Linked DNA regions of Arabidopsis thaliana. The protein of the gene in region 2 interacts with the protein of the main gene of each other region in a pairwise test. Each region holds a gene or a part of one and is shown on either strand. Other genes may lie near its edges.

Region 1 (6,811 bases), on a different chromosome or scaffold from region 2:
AATACCCTTTTATGTTGTCCATTTTTAAAAATACCCCTTCTCTTGAACAAAATGACCAAATTACCCTCATCTAATAGAAACATGTAATTGAAAACTGAACTTTTCCCGCCAATTTTTTGGCGCCAAATTTTTTTTTTCCCGCCAAAAAGAAAAGTTTCTGCCAAACTTTTTTCCCGACAAAAAAAAACATTCCCGGCAAAAATTTTTTTCGTAACAAATTTTTCCTCAGCCAAAAAAATGATTTTAAAAATCCTTGTAAATATTTTTTGGCGGCAAATAGATTTACAAAGAATTTTAAAAGGGTTTTAAAAGATTTACAAGAGATTTTAAAAAGGTTTTAAAAGATTTACAAAAGATTTTAAAAGAGTTTGAAAAGATTTACAATGGATTTTAAAAGGGTTTTAAAAAATTTACAAGTAATTTTAAAAGGTTTTAAAATCCCTTGTAAATCTTTCAAAATACTTTTAAACTCTTTAAAAATCTTTACAAATCCTTTGTAAATCTTTTAAAGCCCTTTAAAATCCATTGTAAATATTGTAAAACCCTTTTAAAATCCCTTGTAAATATTTTAAAATTTTTTAAAACAATTTTAAAGCCTTTAAAAATCTTTAAAAGACTTTTGTAAATTTTTGAAATCCCTTTAAAATCTATTGTAAATTACCCTTTTAAAATCCCTTGTAAATCTTATAAAACCCCTATAAAATCCCTTGTAAATCTTTTAAAACTCTTTTAAAATCCCTTGTAAATCTATTTCCCGCCAAAAAAAAAAAATTGGCGGGAAAAATATGTTTGAAAACAAATTTTGGCGGGAAATTTATTTTGGAATATTTTTGGCGAAAAAATATTAATTTTTCATTTTGTTAACCTAAAACAATTTCCAAATAAGGGTAAAATGGTCATTAAAAATTTAAAGAGGGTAGAAATAAAATTGGATAAAACAAAAGGGTAAAGTTGAAAAAGGGCATCATGAAAAGGGCATTAGAAAAAAAAATTCTTAAAGGGATAATAATTAATATATTAAACTATTAAGTTGATTAACTGATTTTTTTTGTGTTAATATATTATCAAAACAAAACTTGTTTTTTTTTTTTTTTTTTTTTCATCCAAAACAAAACTTGTTTTATTTATTGATTTTTGTAAATAACTGTTTTTCTTAGCTTTTATTACTTCTTATGTTGGATGTTCGTGTTTGGTCTGAGAATTACCTCCTTAAGCACAAGTTGTTCCTTTATAAATGAGCTCCATTTAGGCATAATGATGTGAACCCTTTAGTTTTTGTTGGTGTAGACTCAAATTAGAGAGAGGAGTCGCTGAGATTGATAAGCTAGCAAACAGAATCTTCCATATCGACAAGCTTGGGAATCAACCTGAATTGTGATAGAAGAGAGAAAACATTTTCTAGGAAACTAAATTGTCTCTTTTGAATTTGAAATACTTTATTTGGAGCTTGTTTGCTTAGCGCATATCTCGAATTTGATTATATCTCGCAAGATAATTATGTGACGTTTTTGAATTATGTAAACATCTCAATAAGTGATATAGGAAAATTTAACTTACAAACAGAAAAATAAGCGATTTTTTCAATACATTCTAATAGTTGAATACATTAATTAGAATTAGGAGGGATACAATAATAGATAACTACAATTCATTCGTCATGTTCTAAAAATAGAGAGCAATAAGTACGACGGACAGTACCGTCACTACTTGGCGTCATGGTAGATAGGTAGTGGATCTGCTAGATATATGAGAACGGAAAGAACCAGAAGCTATTAGAGGCGGGAGGAGATATGTGGGGATGATTTCAGTGCAATTCCACGACGCACCATTTCCACTTTCGTAACACCTAAACGACCGCTTCGGCCGTATAAAATCGCAAATGTTTGGTCTCAGTGTATTTTTCCAATTTCCAAATACATCAATTCAAATTATATAATATCTAGTGGCAATTATAAGTATATCATATATTTTCAAAATTAATTAAAAAGATTACTAAATTATGTTTGACTACAACTATTATAATAGTTAAAAACATAAACAAAAACAAAGAAACTATTTTAATAAAAAAATCAAGTAAACATTAAAACATAAGCAAAAAATAATGTTAAAGAAATTATTAATTATTAATTTACTAATAATTAATACCTCTATAAATTAATTGTTAGAGGTTTAACGTAATTTATAAGGAAAACTAAAGAAGACTTTAACCCATAAAGAAAAAAACAAAGACTGAATTGAAGGCCCATATTTAGAAGAAGAGAAAGAAGACCCAAATATGATATAAAATCCAGCCCATTTATATATTTTTATTTTGTTTCTGGAAGGAAAATAAGAAAATGGCAAAAACGAAATAATCTGAAAAAGTAAGGTCTTTTACCAAAAAGGATATTTTTTTTATAAACAGAGCATAAAGTTTTCACTTTTCTTCTGCTCCTTTCTCGTCTCTGTCTTCTTCGTCCTCATTCGTTTTAAAGCATCAAAATTTCATCAACCCAAAATAGATTAAAAAAATCTGTAGCTTTCGCATGTAAATCTCTCTTTGAAGGTTCCTAACTCGTTAATCGTAACTCACAGTGACTCGTTCGAGTCAAAGTCTCTGTCTTTAGCTCAAACCATGGCTAGTAACAACCCTCACGACAACCTTTCTGACCAAACTCCTTCTGATGATTTCTTCGAGCAAATCCTCGGCCTTCCTAACTTCTCAGCCTCTTCTGCCGCCGGTTTATCTGGAGTTGACGGAGGATTAGGTGGTGGAGCACCGCCTATGATGCTGCAGTTGGGTTCCGGAGAAGAAGGAAGTCACATGGGTGGCTTAGGAGGAAGTGGACCAACTGGGTTTCACAATCAGATGTTTCCTTTGGGGTTAAGTCTTGATCAAGGGAAAGGACCTGGGTTTCTTAGACCTGAAGGAGGACATGGAAGTGGGAAAAGATTCTCAGATGATGTTGTTGATAATCGATGTTCTTCTATGAAACCTGTAAGTTCTGTTCTTGCTTTGGTGTTTGATTATTAGAAATGGGAAGAAATCGAATTTGAGGGTTTTGAAGAGAACATTTTTGGTAACTTTTGTTTTAGTTTTTGATTTGTGGTAAGTAACTTTAACAAAGTTGATGATTTGCGTTATGTGCTTTATTTTGGCTCAGACTTGTTGAATCTAATCGATTTTGGTTTGTTTAGTAAACTAAGGTTAGCTCTTGTTACTCTATGAGCAACTTCTCACTAGTTCATGTAGCTGCGTGGCTTATCTTGCCTTCTAAGTTGGTCAAATGAGTAATCTTAAGGGTCTAACTTAAATTATTCTCTTACAACTAATGGAGTCAAATCCTTGTGCAAATGGTTTATTTTCGTTTGGTCTTATTTCTTCTGTGTGTTGTCTGGAAGGTTTTCCACGGGCAGCCTATGCAACAGCCACCTCCATCGGCCCCACATCAGCCTACTTCAATCCGTCCCAGGGTTCGAGCTAGGCGTGGTCAGGCTACTGATCCACATAGCATCGCTGAGCGGGTATATTTCAGATTCTCTTTTGTATTTCCCTGTGATATACTATGTTGGTGGCGAGTTGGTTGTAGTTGAAAATATGTTTCGGATATAAAAAAATGTTAACATTGTGTAATGATCTCTTGATTTTATGGAGGGATTACCTAAAAGTTTGTTTTACTTTACCACAGCTACGTAGAGAAAGAATAGCAGAACGGATCAGGGCGCTGCAGGAACTTGTACCTACTGTGAACAAGGTCTGTACCTTTCACCCTAACCCTCACCTGTATATAATTTCTCTAGAAAGTTTGACACTTTCTGTTTCTCCCGTCTTCGTGTGCAGACCGATAGAGCTGCTATGATCGATGAGATTGTCGATTATGTAAAGTTTCTCAGGCTCCAAGTCAAGGTATATTCTTCTCTCTTCTGCAGTTTTAAACTCGAACTCTCTTTCTTGTGAATTATCTTATTACTCCCTATGCAATATGTTTAATCTGTTTGTTCATAAGATTAGAGATCTAAAGATCATGTCTTTCAAATTCTCTGGATGGATTTTTGGTGTTAATTCTGGTCCCACCATTACCTACCCTTCAACCAAATTTCAATCTGATTAGATCAGTTATTTAATGTGGGAAAGAATAAACAAGTCCAAAATGCTTTTGTTTTCTTTGGCATTTAGTCTCTTTTCACTTTTTGTTTTGTCATAGGGAGCCTAATCACAGTTTATGATTATAATACCATATTCAACAATAATTACAATCATCATGTTCACATTATAATATAGTAATCTGGTAGATCATCAAATGCTTCTTATATCAAAATGCAGTCGGTTACTTAAAGCTCTCGCAAGCGAAAAAAGGAAGTCTCTTTACTTTATAAGATAATGGAGACACTAAAGAAACAGAATGCAATGATGGATTTCTGATAAGATAATACATCTTTTGTTTTAAAAATAGAAAATGTGTTTCTTGTGAAATCTTCCATGCTCATCTAAAAGTAAAAGCTTTTTTTATATATATAATTTTCATGGGGTGAAGCTTATCACTTTCAATGATATCTGTTTCTCTTTGTCAACTTTGGTAGGTTTTGAGCATGAGCCGACTTGGTGGAGCCGGTGCGGTTGCTCCACTTGTTACTGATATGCCTCTTTCATCATCAGTTGAGGTAAAAACTTTTTAAGAACAAAAAGTAAAAACTTTAGTAATGGGGTTTTGATTCAGATTTTGCTTAAAATGTCAATAGGATGAAACGGGTGAGGGTGGAAGGACTCCGCAACCAGCGTGGGAGAAATGGTCTAACGATGGGACTGAACGTCAAGTGGCTAAACTGATGGAAGAGAACGTTGGAGCCGCGATGCAGCTTCTTCAATCAAAGGCTCTTTGTATGATGCCAATCTCATTGGCAATGGCAATTTACCATTCTCAACCTCCGGATACATCTTCAGTGGTCAAGCCTGAGAACAATCCTCCACAGTAGGATTTCTGCAATAAAGAGTTTGTACAGCTAATCCAACTGTCCAACATGGGTTTTTCTTCTGCTCTAATGACTCTGGTTTCTTCTCTCCTCTCTCACCCACTTGAAAGGTAAAAAAGTGAAAAAGGCTTTGTAGATGGAATCAATGTAGGATTTGCAGTAGAGGGAAAAAAAATGTCAAAAAGCTCAATTGATCAAGTATTATTGTAATCATTGTACCTTTATTTTAGGTGGACTTTGATGAAAGCAACTTTTTGTTTTCAAGACTTTAGTGGGAGGTTGAGGAAGGAGCTTGAAGGGTGTTATTTATTAGTAGTAGTAGTAGTGGGAAGTTGTGGGACCTTGTTGAGTTGTGTTCAAATTGAAGAAAAAACAAGTATTTGTAATTTGTCACCCCTTGTATTATTATTTATTTTGTATGACTTTGGAGTAGTATAATTAATTATCAAATAATATTATTAGTTTGATCTAGTAACCATCCTTTGTTTGATAACACTAGAAACATAAAGCAAATATTTTAGGAGAAAGTACCATGAATTGTGCTTCTTTTTTTTAGTGGTACGTGTACAATTTTAACTTCCAAATCTCAAATGCTAAGATATATACACTTTGGACAGAACATGTATCAATTTAAACTTGCATGTTTACATTTTGCATTGATTAGTGAAGACAAAATACAACTTTTATTAATATTGTTAGTTTTGGAAAAATATAGCCAAAAAAAAAACTCATCGAAGAATTAAAGTTATTGATATGATTATTTCATGTGATTCATTAAATCATTCTGCCAAATTTATTTTTTGAGTAAAGTTTGGAAAATCTTGTGTCTTTTGAAGTAACAGATAAAAGTTTTGTTTTTATTACAATTTCACATGAATCTTAGAGTGAGATAATAATAAACGAAGATGATTTGGCAATTTGTTTAAAATGGGTCTAAATTCCAAAACCAAGAAGACTACAAAGAGTATGCAAACTCAATTTGATGCGGTACAGGCGTCAAACATACATCGCTATAGCCTTTGCGTTATTGAACCACATAAAACTGCGGCAAACAGAACTTAGCTTTAGCATGCATCAAGATCACGGAATTGTGGTGGCTTAGGCTCACCAAGCAGTGTCTTATTCCCTCCTTCTGGTCCACACTTGATCCTCTTCGGGTTCTGAGTTCCATGCTGAAAAACAAAGATTAACATTATAAGAAGTTGGATTTGGATTTTGGATTTGGATTTTGGCTTAGAGGCTACGTTCTCCAATTTGGAAAGTTAACCGAAACCAGATTGTTTTCCCCCACCGATGTAATGCAATAGTAAGAGAAGAACATCAGGAAAGTATCCAAATGCAATGGGTTGTTAATGTCTTACCGGTGGCTTTTCTCCTTTTCTCAGCTTTTCAACAATTTCTACGACTTTCTCAGGTGTAACATCTTCCTGTGTATTGTAGCATAAGACAGTGTAAGTATGATTTCACTCTTCCGACGTAACCCACATAAACAATAGGATAATGCAGGAGAAAAAGAAAAATTGTTCAACGAGATTTGACATACGAAATAGTTATATGTATATCCTTCTGATCCATTGGAATAGTCAGCCACAGTGATCATGGGTGCATTAACACAACATCCCTGTAACAAAACCAAACACATTAGATCTGCATTGAATCTTTTCATGTGAAAGTACTAATCTTGGTTATTGTTCTGCATGGATTAATGAATTGAGGTGACGCAAAATCCATACCATGCACTCCATCTCTCCAACAGAGAACAAACCATCCTTTGTGACCTCTGCACAAAAAACATTAAGACCAAAGATCGTTATGACTGATCATCACCTCCATATGATTTTGGTTATGAAAGGAAGCACAT
Region 2 (6,546 bases):
ATGGCATATTTTGTCAAACTCTATTACAACATTGATTCTAATCGATCTACAGTTGAAACTAGTGAATCGAATTTTCAGGTAGAAGTTAAATTTGATTTGAAATGTACTCAAGTTTATGCTATCTTTCTCATATAATATCCAATATTTTAGACTAGTTATATGTTGTTTATGTCGAAGATTGTTATTTGTTAGGTACGAAAAATTTATATGAGCCACCACATATATAGTTGTAATCGACCATTTTCTGTAATTTATTGGTTAAGATTTAAGAAGACTAGAAGAGGGACCGATGTCACTAGATTCACAAACTTAGCAACTTAAATTTACATGAATCCAAGTTACATATTAAACCAATGACAAGAGCCGAAGCACCTCATGAATCCAAAAAATCTACGTAGGACGGTAACTTTTGTTGATCCTGAGACAAAGGATATAGCCGAATATGAGTTGCAACCAAATCTTAACTTCTCTCTATCAACGACGATAATCTTAGTTGCAACATGAAAAACATTCATAAACAAACATTTGCCGGTTCTCCTTTAGTCGCGGAATGATCTCTTTCCAATGGCCAGAGACATGTTGTGGTAATCAAGCCTAGTACTTCTTTAATTTATGGTTCCGAGAACCATATTTGAATGTGTAGATTCACCGTTCCATACGTTCACTTTCGACCTTAACTCCATTTTCACTTTTTAGAATCTTGAATCCTGACTCCATGCTATGTTCTTTTAATTTGTTTGTACTTTGGAGAAAACCAACATTAATTTCCAATAGGGCATAATTTGAGATTTTGTTTTTTAATAATAAATACGTACTAATCATGCATGGGACTTGTTGAGTATTTTATCGATATTGAGATCTAAGGTAAGAATTCTGTTCTTGCATTGCATATATTTTTGAGTGGCATTTGATAGATTAGACACACATATATGTCTTTATAGTAACATATGAATAATCTTTTTTCTGTAAACATAAATGATGTTGAATGCAAATCAGTATATATTTATCGGTATCTATACTAAAATCATATATGTATATTCAAATCATAAAGTAGGAAGCAGTGTGGGCCGCTATTCTACTGGCTTCCACTACTGAATTTCCATAATATATAGTTCTTAATCGAACCAACAAAAAGTTGAATCCATATGGACACATATTTATACATGGATATGTACGAACATAAATACATGCATGTATCCAGAAAATGTGCAAGTTTGCAAGTTTGGACATAAATGTAACTATGTAAGAGTAACGGCACTATCACAAACAATTAGGTTATAAGTGTTGGTTTTGTGATTGTTAAAATTAAAATTTATGATTAAACATGAAAAAAACAACTCTATAAAAACAACAAAGAACTTCATATGACAAACCACCAATTATTATGTTCTCTAACTTTAATAAGTGATTAACAAAGATGTTACCAACGACAAAAATATGTATATATATATATTCAAGAACAATGACAGGAACAAAAGGTTATTCAACATAAAAACAACCCATATATGCTAAATTCAGCAATAAACCCCCCTTAAAATATTGAAAGAAGAAGAAAATACATTAAAAATTATTGTTATGCTTTAGAGTCTCCAAGCTGAATTTAGCATATGTTCCCATCCGTCTTGACAACCACAACCCTCTCTCTTTAATCACCTATATATAATTAAAAAGTGAAATTTAGGTTAATTATTACATATATAACATGAGAGTATGTAAGTTAATGTTTTTAAAAATATATCTATCTATTAGTTTATGATAGATTATTATCCCAAATTTTCTAAGCCCTAAATCATTCTTGCTTTCGTAGTTGGTCCCCTCCAACACTATTGTTGCCTCTGCCCACCTTTGAAGAGTCACCTTCTTCTTCTCCCATCTCTACTTTTTCTCCAAGTAATGATTCAATCTTTGATCATGACTTGTGAATTTTATTTTCTTTTATTTTTATGCTAAGCATTATTAAATAATATCTTAATGCTAATTAAGAACCGTATGATATACGTAATTCACCTTCTCTACCTGAAATTGTTGCCCCCAAACGTTGGTGTCCAAAAATCGGCTGTTGTTTCGTTAGCCACCGGAAACGTGCTTGATATTGGGACGAGACATAGACCATGTCCTCTTAGTTCGTGATTCTCATTTTCATCTTGACTCTTCGATTTACCAGATATCTACATGAATCCATACTGAAATTAGTACTTATTTAACCATGATTATAGCACGAAGACTCCAACTTGGACAAAACTAAAACACTAGATCGTGTATTGAACCTGCTGTTGTTGTTGGTTCGAGGCACCTTGTTTCATGTATGGAGTGCTTAGAACCTGTATTTAAAAAACATTAATATGCTTAAAAATTTGCTCATTTCTAGGGTTTTATGAATTCAGTGAGTTAGGAGAGAAATCACAAGAAACGTACAGTGACTTGGTCGTGAAGGAACTTGATGTACTCTATAGCTTCTTGGAGAACAGATGCAGTATCTGTCTGAAGTTTAACCCAAAGATATACAAAATAAACAAACTAAGAAGCTCAATACATAACCAAGGGAAAATAAATGCTTTTGGTTGTATATATTAAGCCATATAAAATAAAGTAAACACATAAATCATTCACCTTTCCGAAAGGTGAAACTAGTTGTTGTAATGAAGTTATCTGGTCCCTTAGATTCTCTTTTCTCACCTGTTACATATACAATCCATTTTATCCACCAAGAAATTGAATTAAAATAAAAGGTCTTAAACAAATCTTGAAATATGATCATGTACCTTGAAAGTTGGCAACGGTGAAGGCGTGGTGACTCTCGGTTTCTTCGCCGCAGATTCATTATCCTTTGCTCTCTTCAAAGACTCACTCTGAGCTCTTGTCTTCAGATTCTTCTCAACAAAAATAAATAAATAAATAAATTCAATAATATAGCCACAAAACTTATATAGTAGCAAAATTATTTTGACATATATGAGATAATTTACCTTGGTTTTGTCCTCCAAACGAGTAGATATTATCTGCGGAGTGGTTACAAAATTGCTCGGCGTCGTGTTGTTTAAGTTAGTGGTTGATGAAGAATTCCAAAAGGGTCGAGAGTTTGCGTTGTTAGAGAAGCTGTTAATTAGTCCATAAGCTACTTGATGATGAGGATTTGTCTTATTAGCCCAAGAAAGTTGAGGATCGTTGATTGAACCACTTGTGGTGGAGACAAAGTTGTATGGACTTGGTTCGGGATCGTAAAAGGTTCGTATCAAGCTTGAGGACGAAGAAGTTGATGGAGATGAAGAACAAGCTGGATTAAGTATATAAGGTGAAGTAGTTGTGGATAAGAATCCTTGGCCATGATCTTGATCTTGTGAGCTCCTTATGAAGCTTGAGTTTAAGTCTTCTTGTCTGAAAAATACAAAACAAGAACAAAAGAGATCTCATGATTATTATTAAAAATCTTCAATCTTGTTCATCAAGAAAGTGAACAAAAAAAATTAAGTTAGGGTTTTTCTTTAAGAAGTTTACAAAATGGTTTGGTTCCAATCTGAAGAACAATTTGAGGAAAACCCTAGACCCATCATCTGCAACGTCGAGTCCATCGTCACGGTACTTCCTCCACTGTCAGAATCCGCCTCTCGCTGCCCGAAAACGATGTTGTTGTTGTCCGTACAAGTCATCCTAGATTTGAGATGATTCTCTTGCGAGCTAAAATCATTGGAAGTGATAGCCGCTCCGAAGCATGGTGACAAGAAATGATCCGAAGGAGACATAACGCTCCTTGGCGAGTTCCACCACGCGCCACCTCCGCCACCACAAATCGATGCCGTAGCTTTAAACTCCTCCGCCATATTAAGAGAATCAGAAAGTTTTAGTATAAGCTTTCTACTAGATCGTTGCTATACGAAGGTTAAAGTTTTTATATATATGAGTTTGTTGTATGTGATATGAAGAGCATAAGTGTAAAATTTTGATATATGTTTATGAGGGTGTGTATGTTTATATAGGCAAGTACGGACAAGTGTGTGGAAATTACCGGAATTTAGTTGACATTTGAAGACAAAAACTTATATCATCATAACATTCCTATGTGATTTTTTTAATTAAATAATCTTGATTTTAAATTTTTTCCTTAAGCTAAATATTTTATTTGACAGAAAGATGTTGTAATAATAGTGTTCCTAATCCCTCAATTTTCTTCTATTATTATAAGAACAACTGTCTTTGTGAGATTTGTTTCTTTGCTGCTTAGCTTTTCGAAGAAGTGATAATGATCCTCATTTTATAAATATTTAAATATTTAATTTGAGATTAGATAGGTGTTTGGTACTATTATGCAAGATGCCAAAAGGGGATACTATTTATATATAGACATTATATCTAACGGTAACCTTTGATTGGTTGCCATCAAATTCTACAAATCGATCGTTTATATTAAGTGGTCAGAAATAGAAAACATATCACGATTTTGATTAAATCAGTTTTTAGTAATTGTATAGACAAAACACGAAAATGACTGATTATAGTCTACGCATGCGTATATATATAAATGTACATAAATATGAAAGACTAAAATTTTGAAACTTGATATTTTTTTATTACTTTCATGCTTCCATACATGATTTTTATCAGATCACTTTAGTAAGCTTAGGAAAAAAAAAAACTAATTAGTCTATGCAAGCGTATTAATAATTGTTTTATTATTTTGGTAATTATAAACGACTAACCAATTTTTGAACAACGTTTCTTCTAATTAATTATCCATACTTTCATACAGTAATGATTATCTTGAAGTTAAAATATATGTTTTCTCAATCGCATTTGCTAAAAAAAACTTTAAAACATATATCTTCAAGGATTAGACTCACTTATTTTCAAAAGTAATATTCAAAGATTCTTTCGAGATAAAAGTTGAGTCCTAGGCTAGCTCGTTCAGGTTTGAGTTTTCAGTACTTGGGAGGGATATTTATACTTTAACAGGTATTACTATTACTAAAAATTAGTTTTAGATCGAAAAAGCGATCATAGGAATTTTTATTTTTTTAATAGACGATCAATTGTTTTTAGCTCGATTGGAAAACGCAAAATTAATGGCAAAACCTAGAGTTAGCACTTGATATGAGTTCGATATTTATTTCATTGTCGATCGGATTCTTTCGGTTAAAAATAGTACTATAAAATAAGATTTGTTCTTGTGGCTTGAGGCTAAAGGGATAAATGGTATATGATGACGATCGTCGATCGATGCTGAGTTTCGATCTGTGTGTCACGTCACCGTTTCTGGACCTATTGTGTTTGTGACTTTTTTCACAATCTCTTTATACCAAACGGTCCTTATTCTTTTCAACTAGCTTTTTCTAAATTCCGTAAATATTTTATTCTTCTAATAAATTTGATAAGTCAATCAATTATTGCACTTTAATTACAAGTCATTGTTTTGTTTTTCTTCTTTCTCTTAATTCTTTTTCCATTTTATGTGATAGACTGATAGCCACACAAAATATCAAAAAATGGATTTGTTGAACCTGATAATAGTAACCAGTTCTGTTCTTTATGATCATTATACGGCTCGAGGCATAGTGAACCGGGCTGTGTCACCGTCCATAAAATATACAAGTTTTATCAAACGATAGGCATAGATAATAAACATAATTTCACCGATATCCATGTATATAATATTTATATATCTATCTCCTTTCAAAATAAAAAAAAAAATTGGACATATTCTAAGCTAAATTGTGCTAGTATCGTTATTACGAAATTCAAATTTACGTTATGTATCTTGACAAAAAAAAAATTGTTATGAATGCTTGAAGAATGGTATTTTTACGTTACATGTAATACAAAAAAGACACTAATCATTTATGGTAGTCCAATGATTCAAAAATATATTTTGTAATTGGGAGACCATTGTTCATGGTTAGTAGAAGTGAAAGTCTTAAATGTATTCGGCAAAAAAAAAAAAATATCAAATGAAACTCGTAGATTTTTATTGTTCATGGCTATTCGAATTGTGAAAAGTCTTAAATGGTAAAAATATGACACAAAAATATCAAATGAAACTGGTAATATTTTATTGGATAATGGCTATTGAGGACAAATGAAGACTATAAAGGCCCCAATTTATCTAATTATTATTAAAATATTAATTAAGAACTAATTGAATTTTTTTCTTAATGGTCTCTCTATGCGACACAATGCATTTTGACTTAAAACTTAAAAGAGCTTTGAAGCACTGAAATACAGAGACAGTTAGGTCAGATCCATGCGACTGACTAGTAAGTTTTCATCGTGCAATTAAAATTAATTTTAATATAAACTAAGAAAGTGTCAAAACAAATTTGATCAATTTGCTTAAGCCCACCAGTCCACTCCGCCAAAAATGAAAAAAATAATAATTCATTATTGCAACGTGACTAACTTTTTATTTATTTATGAAAACACTTGTTTCGTTTAGGTTGATATCGATAAAATAAAAGTTATGAAATGAACGTCAAAAGAATGTGTCACAGCCACCGTATGACAACATAAGTTAAATCCGAAGAATCTTTGTCAGCCCATCGGTTGTTTTCTCTAACG
Region 3 (5,778 bases), on a different chromosome or scaffold from region 2:
CGAAAATGAGTAATTTGTTTTTGTTTTCTGATAAAAAAAGAGTTTTCCTCAAAAGAAATGAGTAAATGACATATTACTCAATAATTTACTGTAAAAATGACCAAATGGTTTGACTTTGACCAAAAGTTGGAAAAGATCAGAGTTGTTACCAGTCGATTATCTCTGACGTATGATCTTGTCGTTCACTCTTACACACAATATTCAAATAATGTATCATTGCTTTCTGAATAATATGTTTTTGTTTATATTGTTCTTGTATTACAGAATTTAAACATATTGATCGGATTTGTTTTGCTTATGATGTTTAGATTTTTCCCGATTTTTTAATAAGCTTTGAATACAAAAGTTAAATATATGCGGAAACCGATATATGAATTAAAATTTCGAAAAAAGTAATGTGAGTGAGATAGGCTGAGTTTTACGTATTACAAGCGAGACCGATGTGTCAATGAGACTCTGACCATAGGCTTCCTTTTACGATGCTTTTTTACCATTGGAATATTAAAAAAATTCTGCCACCTTTCTCTTCGTTGTTAAAAGTAAAACTAGAGTCATTATACAATAAACAAGTATTTTTAGTCAGTAGACGTTGATGCAAAAGAATACCTTTAAATTTATGTTGTAGCTGTACCTTTTTTATCAAGCGTAGATTTGTCAGACGCATGGACGATATGAGAGTATTAATAAAACGTATATGCAAAATATAAAAAGAGGTTGCGAAGTGTGAAGGCGACTTCTTCTTAGTAATAATGATGTTTCATCTTTAATTGTATTTGTTTCCATTTCCGTAACCATTCTAATACGGACGTCTAAAGTCAATTTCTTAACATTATTACTAAGTGGGAAACATTTATAAATGGAAGTAAATATTACTCATGGTTAACTTTTTTCGTTTTCGGGGTCAAACTGAACTCATAGGTTAGTTTATATTCAAAAATTACAGGCAATAATAACCTAAACCTTCATGTGACCAATAATAATGTCATCGTAGAACACTGCGAGTTTGCTACTAATCTAAAATCCAAAAAGTATAAGATAATAATTAAAACTCCCAAAATTTCACCTCTTTGGTTTTTCTTATTTATATCACGTCCCTTTTCTTTGTAACCTAAAGTTTACACACGTTACTAGGAGTCAAAAGTCAACTAAGTTCGACTAAGATTTGACCACATGACTTCACCGTTGATTTGCTCGAAGATCTGATGAACGGCTGTCGCTATCTCATCTGCTGATCCTAATTTACAACCATCTTCCATCTGCATGCACAACACCATTCATTTCTCATCTCTCCAAAACTAAACAAAAATTAGCAACTTACTAAAAAATTAAACTAAAATTTTCTAAGCTTAGAGTGAAGGAAAAAAATACACACACACACACATAATTGTAGATATTTTCTATTATGGTTTCTCATGCATTTTAATTTTCTTAAGTACCAAACATTTCAAAATGAAGATTCCTTAATTTTCCTCAAAAAGTCAAAAATTGCTAGTTACATAAGACTATTTATAATAATGCTTAAACTAGTGGAAATTGAAACTGATAGTTTAAGAGATGATTAAGAAAATTACCTTGAGATTGAAAGAGTAGATGACAAAGTCAAAGGAAGAAGAGATAGTGAGATGTAGAATCGCAAGCTTTAGTTCTTCAATCGAGACAATAGCTTTTAAGATCTGTCGTTTTCCTCTCTTACACCGAACTTTTAAGCTCACATGGTTCTGTATCACCGTAGCCTCCACTTCTGTCGTATCTCCACCGCCGAATCTCGCCGTAAATCCATTTTCCGACGTCGTAGACACGCTAGAAATAGAAGAGTTAGTGCATGCAAGAGACGAAGATGAAGAACACGACGCCGTTTTAGGAGTTTCATCAGTTCCATCCTTTCGTTTCTCAGCTTCTAGAGATTGCAAGAGTTGCTCTAGTTCCTTGATGAAATCTATTGCCCCTCCTACAATCGAAGCTTGGTCACCCTAGAGAAACAAAAACGTTTTCTTGTTAAAGCTAAATTACGTTCTTGAAAAGAAAAAAAAATTACGTTCTTGTTTAATGAACCCTTAAAACATTTTGTTACCCGTTGAAGAAACGAAGGAGGCATGAGAGATCGGAGAGAGTTTAAGTGTTCGTTCATTTGTCGTCTTCGATTACGTTCGACGGCAATGTGAGTCATCCTTTGGTTTTCAACTTCGTCTTTGTTCTTTGGAGCTCTTGTACGTTTCCGTTTTCTTTTTTCTTTGACCGTTACTGCTCCGTTTTCTGTTCTTGGATCCTTTTCCGGGTCATCTGTTTGACCCGGATCTCTTTTGATGTTTGTTTCAAGGGTGAGACAGCTCTTTGATTCTAGGGTTTGGATCTGGAGAAGTGATTGGAGAAACTGATTTGGTTCTGTTGTTGTAAAAGGGTGTTCTATGCATTGAAGCATTTGCAGAAATGGTATCTTCTCTTCCATAGTAGTGTCTGAAATCTGACCAAATTGGTCTTCTAATTCACCAAAACTCATCAATCCACTCATAATTAGCTTCAACAAAGAAAAAAACAAGAGAGATTAGTTTTAGGATACCATTTTGACAAGAAAACAAAAATCTACTAAATCTTAAAGTGGGTATGAGAAATAAATGGTTTGGTAGGTGAATTCTTAAGACAGAACAAAGAGGATGTACGAGGAGAGAACATTAAATGATGAGAAATAAAGAATGTCGCAGCGAGAGGAAACAATAATAAAAGTAGCAGAATTTGGATAAGCTATTGTAAAATGAATTTACAAGAATTTTGCATTGAATGTTAATCATATGAAAGGAGGAGGAAGAAGAAGAGTAAATGCACAAAACAGTATTCTGTATATGAGAATAAATTACAAGAGAGGCTTACATGAGAAGCTTTATGAGTCTCTCTAATGGAACTGTTTTCTGAAGTAATATTTTTGTAACTTTGAGTATTTAGATATAGGTGTCTTTCCTCAAATAGTCTTCAAATTAACAACTTCTGCTGCTGCTTCTTCTTCTCTCTCTTTCCTCTAAACTAAAAACATTCCTTTAGGGGTTGACACTTTCTAAACTGTTCTTAATAAATGCAGTTTTCCACATATATAAAAGGAGAGAAGACGAGGAAGAGAAGAAGAAGAGGTTCGGTGCATATATGTATAAAAAAACCAAGGGTGAAAAATAAAAATACTATACTATAGCTAAATTATCTAGTTATATATATAGTCGTCGATATTTAGTATTTTACACGCACACATACAGTAATATATGTATGTATTATTAATTAAATATTTAATCCGTGAAACAGATAACCTTTCTTCTTCTTTTTTTAACCTAAATTTTGGACAAAAATATACGTGGGTGTCCTGTCCTCCAGATCAAATATTTATGACCTTGTCCTCTTTGGGCCTTCAAAATAATTTTCTTTCGGGACAATACTCTTTGATTTTTGTTCTTAACGAATTTTACTTTGGTAAATATAAGGAATTCGATAGACTTTGATGAAGGAATTCGATATTTGGCTCGACCAAAAAACATATAAAATACTTTATCTATAAAAATAATTCTACTTAAACAGAAACTTTGAAGATTCACACTAACATATATACATGTTTAAATCATCATCCAAAAATCTTCTTCTGTGTTTGGATATGTTGGCTTCATTGGTGTTACATATATATTAACCGTTTTGACCAAAAAATAATAATATATTAACCGTATTTATTTCATTTTCTTACCATATGTTTTGCTACAACTATTAGAAATTAAGTGTATATATATAATATAACTCTGTATAGACACAATGAGATTGTGCGTTGGGACTAGGAGGGGTCCCGTAAAAGTATTATTGAAGAGGGCAGTGAAGACAGTTTTGTTTGGTGGGGACACGTCTTCCATGAACAGTACTTCTCACTCTTATTAAGACAGTTTCAGGATCAGAAAAGAAGACCAAGCCTCTCTTGCTTCTTCCTCTTTTTCTTTTCTATCTTTAGAGAATTAGTTTTCTCCAATCCAAAAAGGGTTTTCATGTCTTTTACTTCAACTTTTCATTTACTTTGTTTTTTCTCTTTTAATCGAGCTAGAACAAGTACATTATGGGTCTTTAAGTATTTCCCAATATGGTGTGTTGACTTAGTGCTATAAAAATTAAGAATGACAATAGTACCCTTTAAGAAGAGGACGAACAATGCACATGGCCAAGGCCAAGGCCATGGGTGCCAAACGTTAAGTATCCTAATAATACCAACTCGATTTCAGTGCCTTGGTCTGTAGGGCAAACAACAGTACTCTCCCCCAAAAGAAATTTACCTTTTTATTTTTGTTTCCTTCTCCCAAACTACAGATTTTTATTCTACCTCAAAGTCTTTTAAGAACTTGGATTTTGTACCATGCATAAGTGAGTCCAAAACTCACATGCAACCTAATAAAATTGAATAGACTACATTTGAAAAATAGGCCAAACGAATTATGAAGAAAGGAAAATAGATGTATGAAAATATAACACACAAAATGTTTTTATATTATTATAGATAAAGAAAAAAAAAATTACAAGTTTTGTCTAGTACATTATCCACCCAATAAGAGCATGTCACATACCAATTGAGAAAAAAGTGGAGTAAATTTTTATATATTACTTAGCTAAACACAAGAATATCTATAATATATATCATTATCAACATATCATATGTGGATAGCTATTTCTTCAGCCATTATAGGTTCGAATGGAAATCAGTTTGCATTAGACACGCGAACCACATTTTCTTAGGTAGTTCCCTACGTGTAACATTAGACCCGAAATAGCACTTATTTATCGTCAAAGTAAGTATGTAGAATATGATTTTACAATTTATAGTTCTATGTACCATCCATATAACCGAAGATACGGTACTAGTTTGTTTAAGAAAAAAAAAAGAAGATACGATACTAGTAAATGAGAACATATAGGAATTTAGACGAGCGAGGAAAATGGTAATGGGTTTACCCACTTGTGTTTAGATCAATTCCATGAATTGTCTCTCAGTTTACTTTATTCGATTTGACTTGTTTCCAGAAGGCATGTAGAGTTGACAAGTTAAATATGTCTATACAATCTCACATCCATTATGCAATTGGCCACAAATAAAAATTCATTATTTCATCTGTAATAAATGTATCATTCAATATTTTCTGTTAGTTAAGCAAACTAATCAAATTAATTTTGAAGTTTTTAGATATATAATGTATTACAGATAACAAGAAAATGACTTGAAATGGTTTGGTTGGACCTAAGATTAGTAAAGAGAAAATTGCAAAACAAATTTTAAAATCTAATATTTTTGTAAATCTACTCTCCACATTAAAAAAATTGCAAGATTATCATATAAGTCACTCAACCATATACAGTAGAAACTCTATAAATTAATAATGTTGGGACCATGAAATTTTATTAATTTATAGTGATATTAATTTATCCTATAAATTAATATTTATTAATTTATCGTATAAGTTAATAAATATTAATTTATAAAAATATTTATGTAAAATACAATACTATATTCTTTTTAAAATGTTTTTAATTAATTTTCTATATGCTTTGTTGTTTGTATATATAATTATGTTAGTTTTTTATTTTTCTTTGACTTTTTAAATTTATTTTTCAAAATATATTGTGTTTGTATATCCACGACATTAACGTGAACGTAAACGTAAACATGAAGTTTAATCCAATTTTTATTTACACAAATCTTAGCAATGCTTTTTCAAATAAAAGATTTTACAAAATCAACTATGACAGATCAAATACGCAAATAGTTATGTGAGT

What was found.
Region 1: the proteins of AT1G61660 (region 2) and UNE12 interact in a two-hybrid assay, tested with the Arabidopsis thaliana proteins (one study listed by BioGRID).
Region 3: the proteins of AT1G61660 (region 2) and AT4G01460 interact in binary tests that used the Arabidopsis thaliana proteins (3 or more experiments, as listed by UniProt).

The regions. Positions count from the first base shown.
Region 1 is NC_003075.7:1,136,110-1,142,920, reverse strand, and holds UNE12 (basic helix-loop-helix (bHLH) DNA-binding superfamily protein), read left to right. Parts: upstream 1-2,380; 5' UTR 2,381-2,614; coding exon 2,615-2,977; intron 2,978-3,381; coding exon 3,382-3,504; intron 3,505-3,668; coding exon 3,669-3,734; intron 3,735-3,820; coding exon 3,821-3,886; intron 3,887-4,560; coding exon 4,561-4,641; intron 4,642-4,719; coding exon 4,720-4,953; 3' UTR 4,954-5,434; downstream 5,435-6,811. Other genes in the region: AT4G02580 (NADH-ubiquinone oxidoreductase 24 kDa subunit), read right to left, coding at 6,015-6,122, 6,312-6,377, 6,494-6,571, 6,684-6,730. UniProt on the Arabidopsis thaliana protein: Required for ovule fertilization.
Region 2 is NC_003070.9:22,752,354-22,758,899, forward strand, and holds AT1G61660 (basic helix-loop-helix (bHLH) DNA-binding superfamily protein), read right to left. Parts: upstream 4,019-6,546; 5' UTR 3,819-4,018; coding exon 3,496-3,818; intron 3,376-3,495; coding exon 2,967-3,375; intron 2,871-2,966; coding exon 2,763-2,870; intron 2,677-2,762; coding exon 2,611-2,676; coding exon of another isoform or gene 2,527-2,610; exon of another isoform or gene 2,482-2,526; coding exon 2,416-2,481; intron 2,322-2,415; coding exon 2,268-2,321; coding exon of another isoform or gene 2,250-2,267; exon of another isoform or gene 2,169-2,249; coding exon 2,017-2,168; coding exon of another isoform or gene 2,013-2,016; exon of another isoform or gene 1,654-2,012; coding exon 1,650-1,653; 3' UTR 1,258-1,649; downstream 1-1,257.
Region 3 is NC_003075.7:618,065-623,842, reverse strand, and holds AT4G01460 (basic helix-loop-helix (bHLH) DNA-binding superfamily protein), read right to left. Parts: upstream 3,153-5,778; 5' UTR 2,866-3,152; exon of another isoform or gene 2,516-2,865; 5' UTR 2,510-2,515; coding exon 2,072-2,509; intron 1,971-2,071; coding exon 1,572-1,970; intron 1,257-1,571; coding exon 1,146-1,256; 3' UTR 844-1,145; downstream 1-843.